Linked DNA regions of Macaca mulatta. The protein of the gene in region 1 binds, or shares a complex with, the protein of each later gene. Links are inferred from orthologs where the notes say so. Each region holds a gene or a part of one and is shown on either strand. Other genes may lie near its edges.

Evidence for each region. Proteins that work in one complex are often made in the same cells at the same time.
Region 2: TAF12 (region 1) and TAF11 share a complex: the UniProt entries of both Homo sapiens proteins name them as parts of the TFIID basal transcription factor complex. The link is inferred for Macaca mulatta from reciprocal best matches to the Homo sapiens genes TAF12 and TAF11.
Region 3: TAF12 (region 1) and TAF5 share a complex: the UniProt entries of both Homo sapiens proteins name them as parts of the TFIID basal transcription factor complex. The link is inferred for Macaca mulatta from reciprocal best matches to the Homo sapiens genes TAF12 and TAF5.

The regions. Positions count from the first base shown.
Region 1 is NC_133406.1:212,257,866-212,261,613, reverse strand, and holds the start of TAF12 (transcription initiation factor TFIID subunit 12), read right to left. Parts: upstream 2,392-3,748; 5' UTR 577-2,391; intron 1-576. UniProt on the Homo sapiens protein: The TFIID basal transcription factor complex plays a major role in the initiation of RNA polymerase II (Pol II)-dependent transcription.
Region 2 is NC_133409.1:147,388,274-147,392,021, forward strand, and holds the start of TAF11 (transcription initiation factor TFIID subunit 11), read left to right. Parts: upstream 1-1,173; 5' UTR 1,174-1,207; coding exon 1,208-1,378; intron 1,379-3,748. UniProt on the Homo sapiens protein: The TFIID basal transcription factor complex plays a major role in the initiation of RNA polymerase II (Pol II)-dependent transcription.
Region 3 is NC_133414.1:115,514,510-115,518,257, reverse strand, and holds the start of TAF5 (transcription initiation factor TFIID subunit 5), read right to left. Parts: upstream 2,470-3,748; 5' UTR 2,434-2,469; coding exon 1,875-2,433; intron 1-1,874. UniProt on the Homo sapiens protein: The TFIID basal transcription factor complex plays a major role in the initiation of RNA polymerase II (Pol II)-dependent transcription.

The sequences.
Region 1 (3,748 bases):
ATGTTTGCACTAAAAATGCAGGACACACTTATTTATGGCTTTCCAAACAGCTTATTAAATAAATAAATAAATAACACTGAGCTTTATTTAAAGGTTCCAGCCAGGTGCAGTGGCTCATGCCTATAATCCCAACATTCTGGGATATCAAGGTGGGAGAATCACTTGAGGACAAGAATTCAACACCAGCCTAGGCAACACAGCCAAACACCGTCTCTACAAAAAAACTTAAAAATTAGCTGGGTGTAGTGGCTCATACCTGTAGTCCCAGCTACCCAGGAGGCTGAGGCAGGAGGAGTGCTTGAGCTCAAGAATATAGGTTGCAGTGAGCTATGATGATGCCACTGCACTCCAATATGGGCAACAAAACAAGACCCTGTCTCAAAAATATAAAAATAAAAATAAAGGTTTCCTTACTATTAAGTGACATTTACTGTATCAATGTCAATGCAGTAATAACACTCAAAGTATCAGAAACTGTAAAAATTTCCAGTTTTTACTGGAAATAAAAACTGGGCCAGGCGTGGTGGCTCATGTCTATAATCCCAGCACTTCGGGAGGCTGAGGTGGGCAGATCACTTTAGGTCAGGAGTTCGAAACCAGCCTGGCCAACATGGTAAAACCCTGTCTCTACTAAAAATACAAAAATTAGCTGGGCATTGTAGCACACACCTGTAATTCCAGCTACTTGAGAGGCTGAGGCAGGAGAATCGTTTGAACCGGGGAAGCAGAGATTGCAGTGAGCTGAGATCGTGCCACTGCACGCCAGCCTGGGTGACTCTGTCTCAAAAAAAGAAAACTGGAAGCGGGGGGAAGTGACTCATGCCTGCAATCCCAGCACTCTGGGAGACCAAGGTGGGAGGATCACTTGAGCCTAGGAGTTTGAGACCAGCCTGGGCAACATAGTGAGATCCTGTTTCTACAAAAAATTTAAAAATTAGCAGGGTGTGGAGGCACATGCCTGTAGTTCCAGCTACTCAGGAGGTATATATAGGTGGGAAGATTGCTTGAGCCTAGGAGGTTGACGTGCATGGTGCCAAGATTGAGCCACTGCACTTCAGCCTGGGCAACAGAGAGAGAACCTGTCTCAAAAAAAAAAAAAAAAAAAAAAAAAAAAAAAAAAAAATTCCCTCCTGAGTTTGAAGATAAAGCAAAGATTCTGGAAGCATTTAAGGAACATTAACCAAGCATCTCATTTGCTACGCACAGAAGGGTACTGTATTAAAATTATGATCTAACCATTGCCTCACTGTAATCCTAAACCTCTTTGAACCTTAGCCTCCTTAAATGTAAAATAGGAGTTTTTAAAAGATGATCTTTTGGGACTCTTCCATCACTGACATTCTTTTACTTGAGATGCAGAGATCTGTGCTCATTCAGGGTTGAGTGGAATGGGATTTAAAGCACTTATCAAGTATATAACTGAGTTCCAACTGTTTTCAACTTCACATCTGATTCCCAAGAATGAAGCAGAAAATGAAGATGTTTGCATGTGGGCTTCCTAGATTGAGTATCTAACACAAGAAAAGCCTGCCAAGAGCCAAGCAGGCAGTGCGAAGGAGAAGTTGTCTTCCCCTGAATACGTCCTTTATCTCTCTGGGTTCAGGGAATACTGTGGAAAAAAAAATGGATCACTAAATCTTTTCCAAACCCTTTCCCTTTACTTTCTAGGCTGATCTCACATCCATGGTCCCTTAGATCCAAGGCTTTTAGGAGCTTGGGTCCTCACCGCCCTGTTCTGAGACTCAGGTACTCGGAGTCTCAAAGCCCGGATCCCGTCCCCAAAGAAGCCCCAGTCTTCACTGCCCGCTTCTGTTCCCTTCCAAACTCAAGTTTTCTCTGTCTGCTTCTGCCCCTCAGGAACCTGAGTCTTCGCTGCCCCGTTTCTGAATCCTTAGGAGGCCGGGTCTTCACTGTCCCGCTTCTGCCTCTTAGAAGCCCAAGTCCTCACCGCTCCACTTTTACCTCTCCGGAGCCCGTGTCTTCACACCCCGTTCCTTTCCGACCCTCTCCTCGTAGGAGTGCGGGTCCTCATAATCCTGCTCCTCTCAGACCACTTTCCCTCAGATGCCGGAGAACTCAGATCCGTCCCCGTTCCCTAAGTCCCGTCTTGGAGCCCAGGTCCCCACAGCCGCGTCTTCTCCGAGCCTGATCCTCTGTCAGTCCCTTCCCAAGAGCCTGAATCCTCACAGCCCCGTCTCGTCCACAACCTGGTCCTTCGAACACTGACCTACTGTAGATCTGGGTCCTGACTCCCTCCTCCCGCTCTTGTTCCTCAACTGCCAGGGCCCAAGACTCACAGGCAGCAGCGTCTATCTCCCCATGATATGCGGAGACTGCCCCAGAGAAGCGTTCGTCTCAGCAGCCGGTCCGACTGCGCGGCCCTCCCCGACTACTTCCGGCACCGCTCCCCGCCTCCAACCCGGAAACGCGCGGCTCTTCCGGCCGGCGGGCGCGCGCCTCGCTTGCGCAGGCGCAGACTGCCCTCCGACACGTGGTGGCGATCTTGAGCTGTGTGTAGCTGTAGCCTGCAGCTTGCGCTTTTAACTGCTTGTAGTTGAGTGGCAGCATGAGCGAGCTCTGCGTATTCCACCCCGGCGTTAAGAATCCTTCACTAGCTTTTCTTCCCGACTCTGCTTATTTATCCATCGGTAGCATGACGGGTAATTGACGCCCTCGGATGGCTTTGAGGTCGCCATTTTTGGTTGGTGCCTTTGTCATGGTGTCAGGACCAGGATATCATCTGGGACACATTACCCCACAGGTATCCTGTTGAACCTCAACGAGGAAGTTGGCAACACAGGAACCGGGAGATGAGACAGATCGGTTGGTTGTGCCTGTGAACTGGCAATTCAGTAATAACAATTGACTGCTGACTGTTTGCCAGGAATTGTGCTAATCCGCTTACCTCCGTTACGCCATTTAATCAGTTAGAGGAGACCTGTGAGAGATTAAGCAAAATTCTAGCTAATAAGTGCAGAGCCTCAGCTTGAACTCAGACCTCACTACTAAGCCAAAGCCTGTCCTGTAGCATTCTCTACAGGACAGTTTTTTGCTGTCAAATGCTTGGTGAGAATTGCTTTTATGTGGCTCACGCCTGTGATCCCAGCACTTTGGGAGGCCGAGGCGGGTGGATCACGAGGTCAGGAGTTCAAGACCAGCCTTGCCAAGATGGTGAAACCCCGTCTCTACTAAAAATACAAAACAATTAGCCGGGCGTGGTGGCACGCGTCTGTAATCGCTACTCCGGAGGTTGAAGCAGAGAACTGCTTAAACCTGGAGGGGCGGAGGTTGCAGTGAGCCGAGATCGCGCCACTGCACTCCGGCCTGGGTGACAGAGCGAGACTCTGTCTCAAAAAAAAAAAGAGAGAACTGTTATTTTTTACTGTATGCTGGAATGTTAGGTATGCAAGTCAGACCCAGTTCCAGCATCTGTAAGGTTCACAGTAAAATGGAGAAGAACCCACAAACACACCAAAAAATGTATAAAGAGCTGTGGGCCGGGCGCGGTGGCTCAAGCCTGTAATCCCAGCACTTTGGGAGGCCGAGACGGGCGGATCACAAGGTCAGGAGATTGAGACCATCCTGGCGAACACGGTGAAACCCCGTCTCTACTAAAAATACATTAAAAAAAACTAGCCGGGCGAGGTGGTGGGCGCCTGTAATCCCAGCTACTCGGGAGGCTGAGGCAGGAGAATGGCATAAACCCGGGAGGCGGAGCTTGCAGTGAGCTGAGATCCGGCCACTGCAC
Region 2 (3,748 bases), on another chromosome or scaffold:
TTTGCTGTGCCGAGACAGGCCTCACGGGTTATGGGGACAGCGCCTTGTGGGTCCCCATTATATAGGTGGAAAGGGACAAACAGGCCCACCTGTACGCGCCTCCCGAAGTGCGCTCCTTCCCTAAACGTTTTGGGAGCTCCTGGGACAGGAAATACGGCAATTCGTCCAGGCAGCGCAGAAACAAAGAGATAAATATGGTAACGCGCACCTACATTTCCAAGGACATTCTTTAAGCACGCATAAATTAAATATGTAATAGGTGCTGGGACCTAGTCATACCCAGGTGAATAAAACGCCCTCCCCCTCGTATCTCTATGAGGGAAGAGAAGAAAATTTTAAAATAGAAATATCCTCACCACTTCATCCTCCCAGTACATGAACTAGTTCGTTAAAGTGAAACGTTCGAAGGAGACACCTTCCTCTCTTTAGGCTTTCCTCTTAGTTTTGGTAAGATTAACCAAAATGATAGAAAAGTGTCAGACTTGTAGAAACAAACCTCAATCTTGAATACTTGCGAACTGAAAAAAAATCATTTAATTGGATAGAAACTATGTGTGTTTTGTTCCCTGGTACTAGCACTGTTTCTAAATCGAAGTACGCAGTCAATAGTTGTGGATGAATAAATGAATTGGATAAATTCTGCTCAAGCTAGATGACTTTTTGTTGTTAAGGTGCTTGCTGAATGGAGCGGAAATGCTAGCAATTCCACGTACACACAGACCCGCGGTTTCGGGCCAGTTGAAATACACAAGGTTGAGTCTTGCCTGAAAGTTTACCAATCCCGGGTAGCCTCATTCCACGACACCGCCATACAACGGAACTGAGTTTTCTCCCGATCCCCCAACTTTACTCTGAGGGGTTAACGAAGGGATTAACTGGTATTGAATTTTTAGACAGGCGAAAAGGAAAAAGTTATTTAGTAAACAAAACTGCGCTCCTTCACAAGTGCTGGTTTCCTAGCTAGGAGGATCCATAGTCTGAGCTCTTTACGTCCAATTTTCCCGCTTCCCACTGTCGCCAAACCAAAGTTAAAATGAGTCCTCTAGTCCTCTACGCGCGCCTCAAAATGACCCCTCAGGAGAGCGGTAGGGGTGATGTCATCGCTGCGCGACGACAGGAAGTAAGATACTGTCCTGTGCAGCTCGGGGTTCCGAGCTTCTGCCTCAGACATCGCCGCGATCTCCTCTCCCCTCCAATCCTATCCGTGATGGACGATGCCCGCGAGTCGCCCTCCGACAAAGGTGGAGAGACAGGGGAGTCGGATGAGACGGCCGCTGCGTCCGGGGACCCGGGGGCTACCGACACGGATGGAATCCCAGAGGAAACTGACGGAGACGCAGATGCGGACTTGAAAGAAGCTGCAGCGGAGGAAGGCGAGGTAGGAAGAGATGTATCGATGAGGCTGAAGGAATACCCAGAGATCGTGTTACTGGGTGCTTGCCGGGCTTCTGGTTAGTCCCTCCCAAGTTACGAGAACTCGAACTCACCAGAACTCCCTCCAGATCGTTAATCTTGAGGGGGAAGAGAGCGGACGACCAAACAGAACTCCAGTGCTGGTTCCGTTCCAGAGGCTCAAGCACTGCGTTAATATTTTTAGTCTTGTCAAGGGATTAAAGCTACTTCTAAGGGAGTTTTAATAGCCTATTGGCTTTAGTGGTGAGGAAACTGGGATCCAGTGTCACACTGAGACGCAGTGCAAGAGCTAAAACCCAGGATTCGTAGCACCCCTTTCACCGCAATATGGTTCGTCTTAGATGTTAAGACAACTTTGTTTCTTTATAGGAAGGAGGGTCGATCAAACCTGTCAAAGGGAGATAGACTTTTATAAAAGTGTCGCCCGGGCTGTAGTACAATGGCGCGATCTCTGGCTCACTGCAACCTCCGCCTCCCGGGTTCACGCGATTCTCTTGCTTCAGCCTCCCAAGTAGCTGGGATTACAGGCTCACACCACCATGCCCGGCTATTTTTTGTATTTTTATTAGAGACGGGGTTTTACCATGTTGGCCAGGCTGGTCTCGAACCCCTGACCTCGTGATCCGTCCGCCTCGGCCTCCCAAAGTGCTGGGATTACAGGCGTGAGCCACAGCACCCGGTGATCAGGGACCCATCAGTTGGGTCTGGTGTTTTTATGCTACAGAGAGTTCAGCAGTGTTGCCTAGCTGAACATTGGTCAGGACCAGAAACTCATCGTTCTCTGGATTACATTTCTGGAAGTAGAATCTTGGGGTCTTAGAGCTAGAAGGGATTTAAGAGATCGTGGGGTGAACAGTAGATTAGATGGAAATAGCCTTTCAGTGTATAAAGTTGCATAAAAATGTATAAAGTAAGAACTTTTAGAAAAAGAGAAAATTTGGCCGGGTGCAGTGGCTCACGCCTGTAATCTTTGGGAGGCGGAGGTGGGTGGATCGCCTGAGGTCAGGAGATCCCCAATATGGGGAAACCCTGTCTCTACTAAAAATACAAAAATTAGCTGGGCATGGTGGCAGGCGCCTGTAATCCCGGCTACTTAGGAGGCTGAGGCACAAGAATCGCTTGAACCTGGGAGGCAGAGGTTGCAGTGAGCCGAGATCGCACCACTGCACACCAGCTTGGGTGCCAGAGTGAAACTCCGTCTCGAAAAAAAGAAAAAGAGAACATTTGACAAAAGTATTTTAAGGCAGGTTTCTTTTTTTGTTTTTGTTTTTGTTTTTGAGACTGAGTACTCGCTCTGTCACCCAGGCTGGAATGTGCAGTGGCGCGATCTCGGCTCACTGCAAGCTCCTTTAAGGCAGTTTTTGTTGGTTTGTTGAGACAAGGTCTCACTCTGTCACCCAGCCTGGAGTGCAGTGGCACAGTCTCTGCCTCCTGGGCTCAAGCAACCCTCTTATCTCAGCGTCCGCAGTAACTGGGATTGCAAGCATACTGCACCACGCTCAGCTGAAGTTTTTGTATTGTTTTGTTTTGTTTTGTTTCGTTTTTGAGACGGAGTCTCGTTCTGTTGCCCAGGCTGGAGTGCAATGGCGCAATCTCGGCCTACTGCAACCTCCGCCTCCCAGGCTCAAGTGATTCTCCTGCCTCAGCCTCCCCAGTAACTGGGATTACAGGCACGTGCCACTGTGCCCAGCTAATTTTTGTATTTTTAGTAGAGCCAAGGTTTCACCAAGTTGCCCAGGCTGGTCTTGAACTCCTGACCTCATGATCCATCTGCCTCAGCCTCCCAAAGTTCTGGGATTATAGGCATGAGCCACCGCACCTGGCCAGCTAAAGGTTTTTTAAATATTGTTTTGGTAGAGACAAGGTCTCATTATATTGCCCAGTCTGGTCTCCAACTCACTGGGCTGAAGTAATCCTTCCGCCTCAGCCTCCCAAAGTGCTAAGATTACAGGTGGGAGCCACCATGCCTGGCCAAGAAGGAAACTTTAAAACAGGTGTCAAGGACAGCAAGGATTTGAATAATTAGCTTGGTACACTAGAGAGCTCACTACATATATAAATTTGCACCGAACAGAGGATAAAATTATGTTGTTTCTGAAACACTTTTAAAAATCAATCATGTACTAGACCATGAAGAAAAATATGAATTCTTAAAAGATATCATAACAGGCCACATCTTGTTAATGCAATGCATTAAACTTGAAATTAACTACAAAAAGCTTCTCCCCCACCAAAAAAGAACCCCCTGGAAATTTTAAACTACTTTTTAAATAGCCTTTAGACTAAAGAAATTAACAGAACACTTTATCAAATGATATGGGATTTGGCCAAAGCT
Region 3 (3,748 bases), on another chromosome or scaffold:
AGATCCGGCCACTGCACTCCAGCCTGGGCGACAGAGCGAGACTCCGTCTCAAAAAAAAAAAAAAAAAAAAAAAAAACCCTCATAACCACTCATGTAATAAAGGGAGAAAATTCAACATGAGAATGACTTGTCTCTTGACAATATTAATGTAAAAAAAAAATTTTTTTTTTTTTAAGACAGAGTCTTGCTCTATCACCCAGGCTGAAGTGCAGTGGCGCAATCTTGGCTCACTGCAACCTCGGCCTCCCGGGTTCAAGCAATTCTCCTGCCTCAGCCTCCCAAGTAGCTGGGATTACAGGCATGCGCCATCACATCTGGCTAATTTTTGTATTTTTAGTAGAAAGGGGGTTTCACCATGTTGGCCAGGCTGGTCTCAAACTCCTGACCTCAGGTGATCCACCCGCTTCATCCTCCCAAAGTGCTGAGATTACAGGCATGAGCCACCACGCCCGGCCAATAGGAAGGTAAAAAAAAATTAAAAGGTAAGAAAAGAATGACAATCAGCATCACACATGTAAATGCAGCAAAGACGAAAAGGTCTGTCCAATGCCCATGCCTAAACACATGGTTCTCAAGCTGCCCTATGTCAACACTCCTTAGAAGCTCTTATTCAAAAGTGAAGATTCCCAGATTCCACCTCTAGAGGATCTGATTCACTAAGTCTGAAGTGATGCCCAGGAACCTGCATCCTCCAAAGACTTAACACTGGTGGTACTCAGCCCATATATATCTTTAAAATTTCAGTCGGGTGCGGTGGCTCATGCCTGTAATCCCAGCACTTTGAGAGGCCGAGGCGGGTGGATCATGAGATCAGAAATTCAAGACCAGTCGGACCAATATGGCGAAACCCCGTCTCTACAAAAAATACTTTTTAAAAAATTAAGCGGGGCGTGGTGTCGTGCGCCAGTAGTCCCAGCTACTCGCGAGGCTGAGGCAGGAGAATCGCTTAAATCCAGGAGGCAGAGGTTGCAGTGAGCCGAGATTACACCACTGTAGTCCAGCCTGAGCGACAGAGCAAGACTCCGTCACAGAAAAAAAAAAAAAGAAAAGAAAAAAAAAAAACTTTTAGCTGAGATTCAGGGGGTACATGACGTGCAGGATTGTTACAAGGGTATATTGTATGGTGGCTGGGCACGGTGGCTCACGCCTGTAATCCCAGCACTTTGGGAGGCCGAGGCTGGTGGATCATATGAGGTCGGGAGTTCGAGACCAGCCAGACCAACATGGTGAAAGCCTGGCTGTACTAAAAATACAAAAATTAGCTGGCCGTGGTAGTAGAAGCCTGTAGTCCCAGCTACTTACGAGGCTGAGGCAGGAGAATCGCCTGAACCCAGGAGGCGGAGGTTGCAGTGAGCCGAGGTCGCACCACTGCACTCCAGCCTGGGCAACAGAGCAAGGCTCCGTCTCAAAAAAAAAAAAAAAAAAAAAAAAAAAAAAAAGTCCATAAAGTATTTATTAACACATCTTTTAAAAGGAAGTAAAGAAATAAAGAGAAAATAAAGTACTTATAAAACTTAAAGTACGCTAGTACGAAACTGTACAAACACTGTTAGTCTCAGGCGGACCTGCCCAAGGCTCAAAAGCCCAAATGAGAGGAAAGGGACCAAAAGCGTGAAGGTCCCCGCCTCTCCGCGCTCACCTTCCCATACATCCCTCTGCTCAACAGCTCTCCTCAGCCTCTCGCTGAAACTGACAGCTCGGAAGGGGGTTTGACTGCGCAGCCGGCGCACTAGAGAAAGGGGCGGGCATGTGGCCCTAGAGGCGGGCCCAGGAAATTCAAAACAAGCCCGCAGAGGTGCAGGCCTGCCAGCCCCTGCCTTACCGGCTTGCTCCCCTTCGCGGCGGCCGTGCCTCCCCGGAACCCCACGGCTTACCTTTACCCGGAGCCGCAGGACCTGAGGCTGAACCTGAGACGGCCGTGACCCCCGAAGCGCCAGTGCCCGGAGGGTCGGGGGCCGCAGGGCCAGGGGCCGAGGCGGTCACCCGGCTGAGAAGCGCGCTGGCCACCTCAGCGCCGACGCTGTCCACCTCTCCCGGGGCTCCGGAGCCCGCCACTGCCTCCTCCAGCAGCCGGGCCTCACGGCGCAGCGCCTCTTCGGCCTCGCGGAGGTTGCTCTGCCGTAGGAACTGCAGCACGGCCAGTAGAGTCTGTCGGTCGTGCGGAGCGCCGGCCTCCGGAGCAGCCGCAGGCACCGGGGCCGCCCCCGCCGGGGCAGCGGTGGAGACAGCCACCGTGAGCTTGGGGGTCCCGCCATCCCCGCCAGTGGACGACGATGCCGCAACGTTCCCGCCGCCGCCGTTAGGGCCGTTGTTGGTAGTGCCGCCGCTACCCTCGCCTGCGCCGTCCCCCGCCTGCGGAGGTAGCAGCGTTGGCGGTCCCTCAGGCTCTAGCTTGACCGCCACCTCCGTCTGCTCCTCCGCCAGCGCCGCCATCTTGCGGCTGAGCCACCTTGCGCCGTCAAGCGTGATTGCATTTTCGCCACATGGAGGGCGGGGAGGAGCATTTCACGACAACTCTAGTAGGCCATTTACGGCAGTAGGAGGGGCGAAAAGGAAGGAGAAACGGAATAGGAAAGAGAGCAACTTTCAAAAACGGGCGAAAGAAAGGCAGGAAGTGGGCATAGGGAACACCTATTACATTTCTCTGATAATAATTGCCATTTATTGCAGAGCAGCTATATTTAGGCATTATGATAGACGTTTTACATTATGTGATCTCCTTCAATTCAATAATCTTTTTCTCTTTTTTTTTGAGACGGAATTTCATTCTTGTCGCCCAGGCTGTTCAAGCGATTCTCCTGCCTCAGCCTCCCCAGTAGCTAGGATTACAGGCATGCGCCACCACGCCCGGCTACAATTAAATAGTCTTATGAGGTAATATTATCCCCACCCCACAGATGGCTCTGCCGAAACCAAGAAAGGTTAAATAACTTACCAGAGTCACGCAAGAAGAAAGTCCAAATGTCAACATTCGAATCCACGTATTTAACTCAAAAGTATATACCATTTGCCAGAGGAAGGCTTCCAAGATACTGGTAATGTTTTACGTTTTGACCCGGATAGTGCTTTTTTTTTTTTTTTTTTTTTTTTTGCAATTTTTACTTTTGTAAAAGTTAATCAAGGTGCATGCTTTATGAACTTTTAACCATATACATTACATTACATTACATTTTTTTATTTACTTATTTATTTTTTGAGACGGAGTCTCGCTCTGTCGCCCAGGCTGGAGTACAGTGGCCCGATCTCAGCTCACTGCAACCTCCGCCTCCCGGGTTCAAGCGATTCTCCTACCTGAGCCTCCCGAGTAGCTGGGATTACAAGCATGTGCCACCACGCCCGGCTAATTGTTGTATTTTCAGTAGAGACGGGGTTTCGTCATGTTGGCCAGGCTGGTCTCAAACTCCTAATCTCAGGTGATCCGCCCCTCGGCGTCCCAGAGTGCTGGGATTACAGGCGTGAGCCACTGCACCTGGCCCATACACATTACATTGCAATAAAAAGTTTTTAAATGCAATAAAAAGTTTTACAGGCGCGGTGGCTCCCACCTGTAACCCCAGCACTTTGGGAGGCCGAGGAGGGCGGATCACGAGGTCAAGAATTAGAGACCAGCCTCACCAACCAACATGGCGAAACCCCGCCTCTACTAAAAATACAAAAAATTAGCTGGGCGTGGTGGTGCGCCCCTGTAATCCCAGGTACTCCAGAGGCTGAGGCAGAAGAATCGCCTGAACCCCGGAGATGGAGGTTG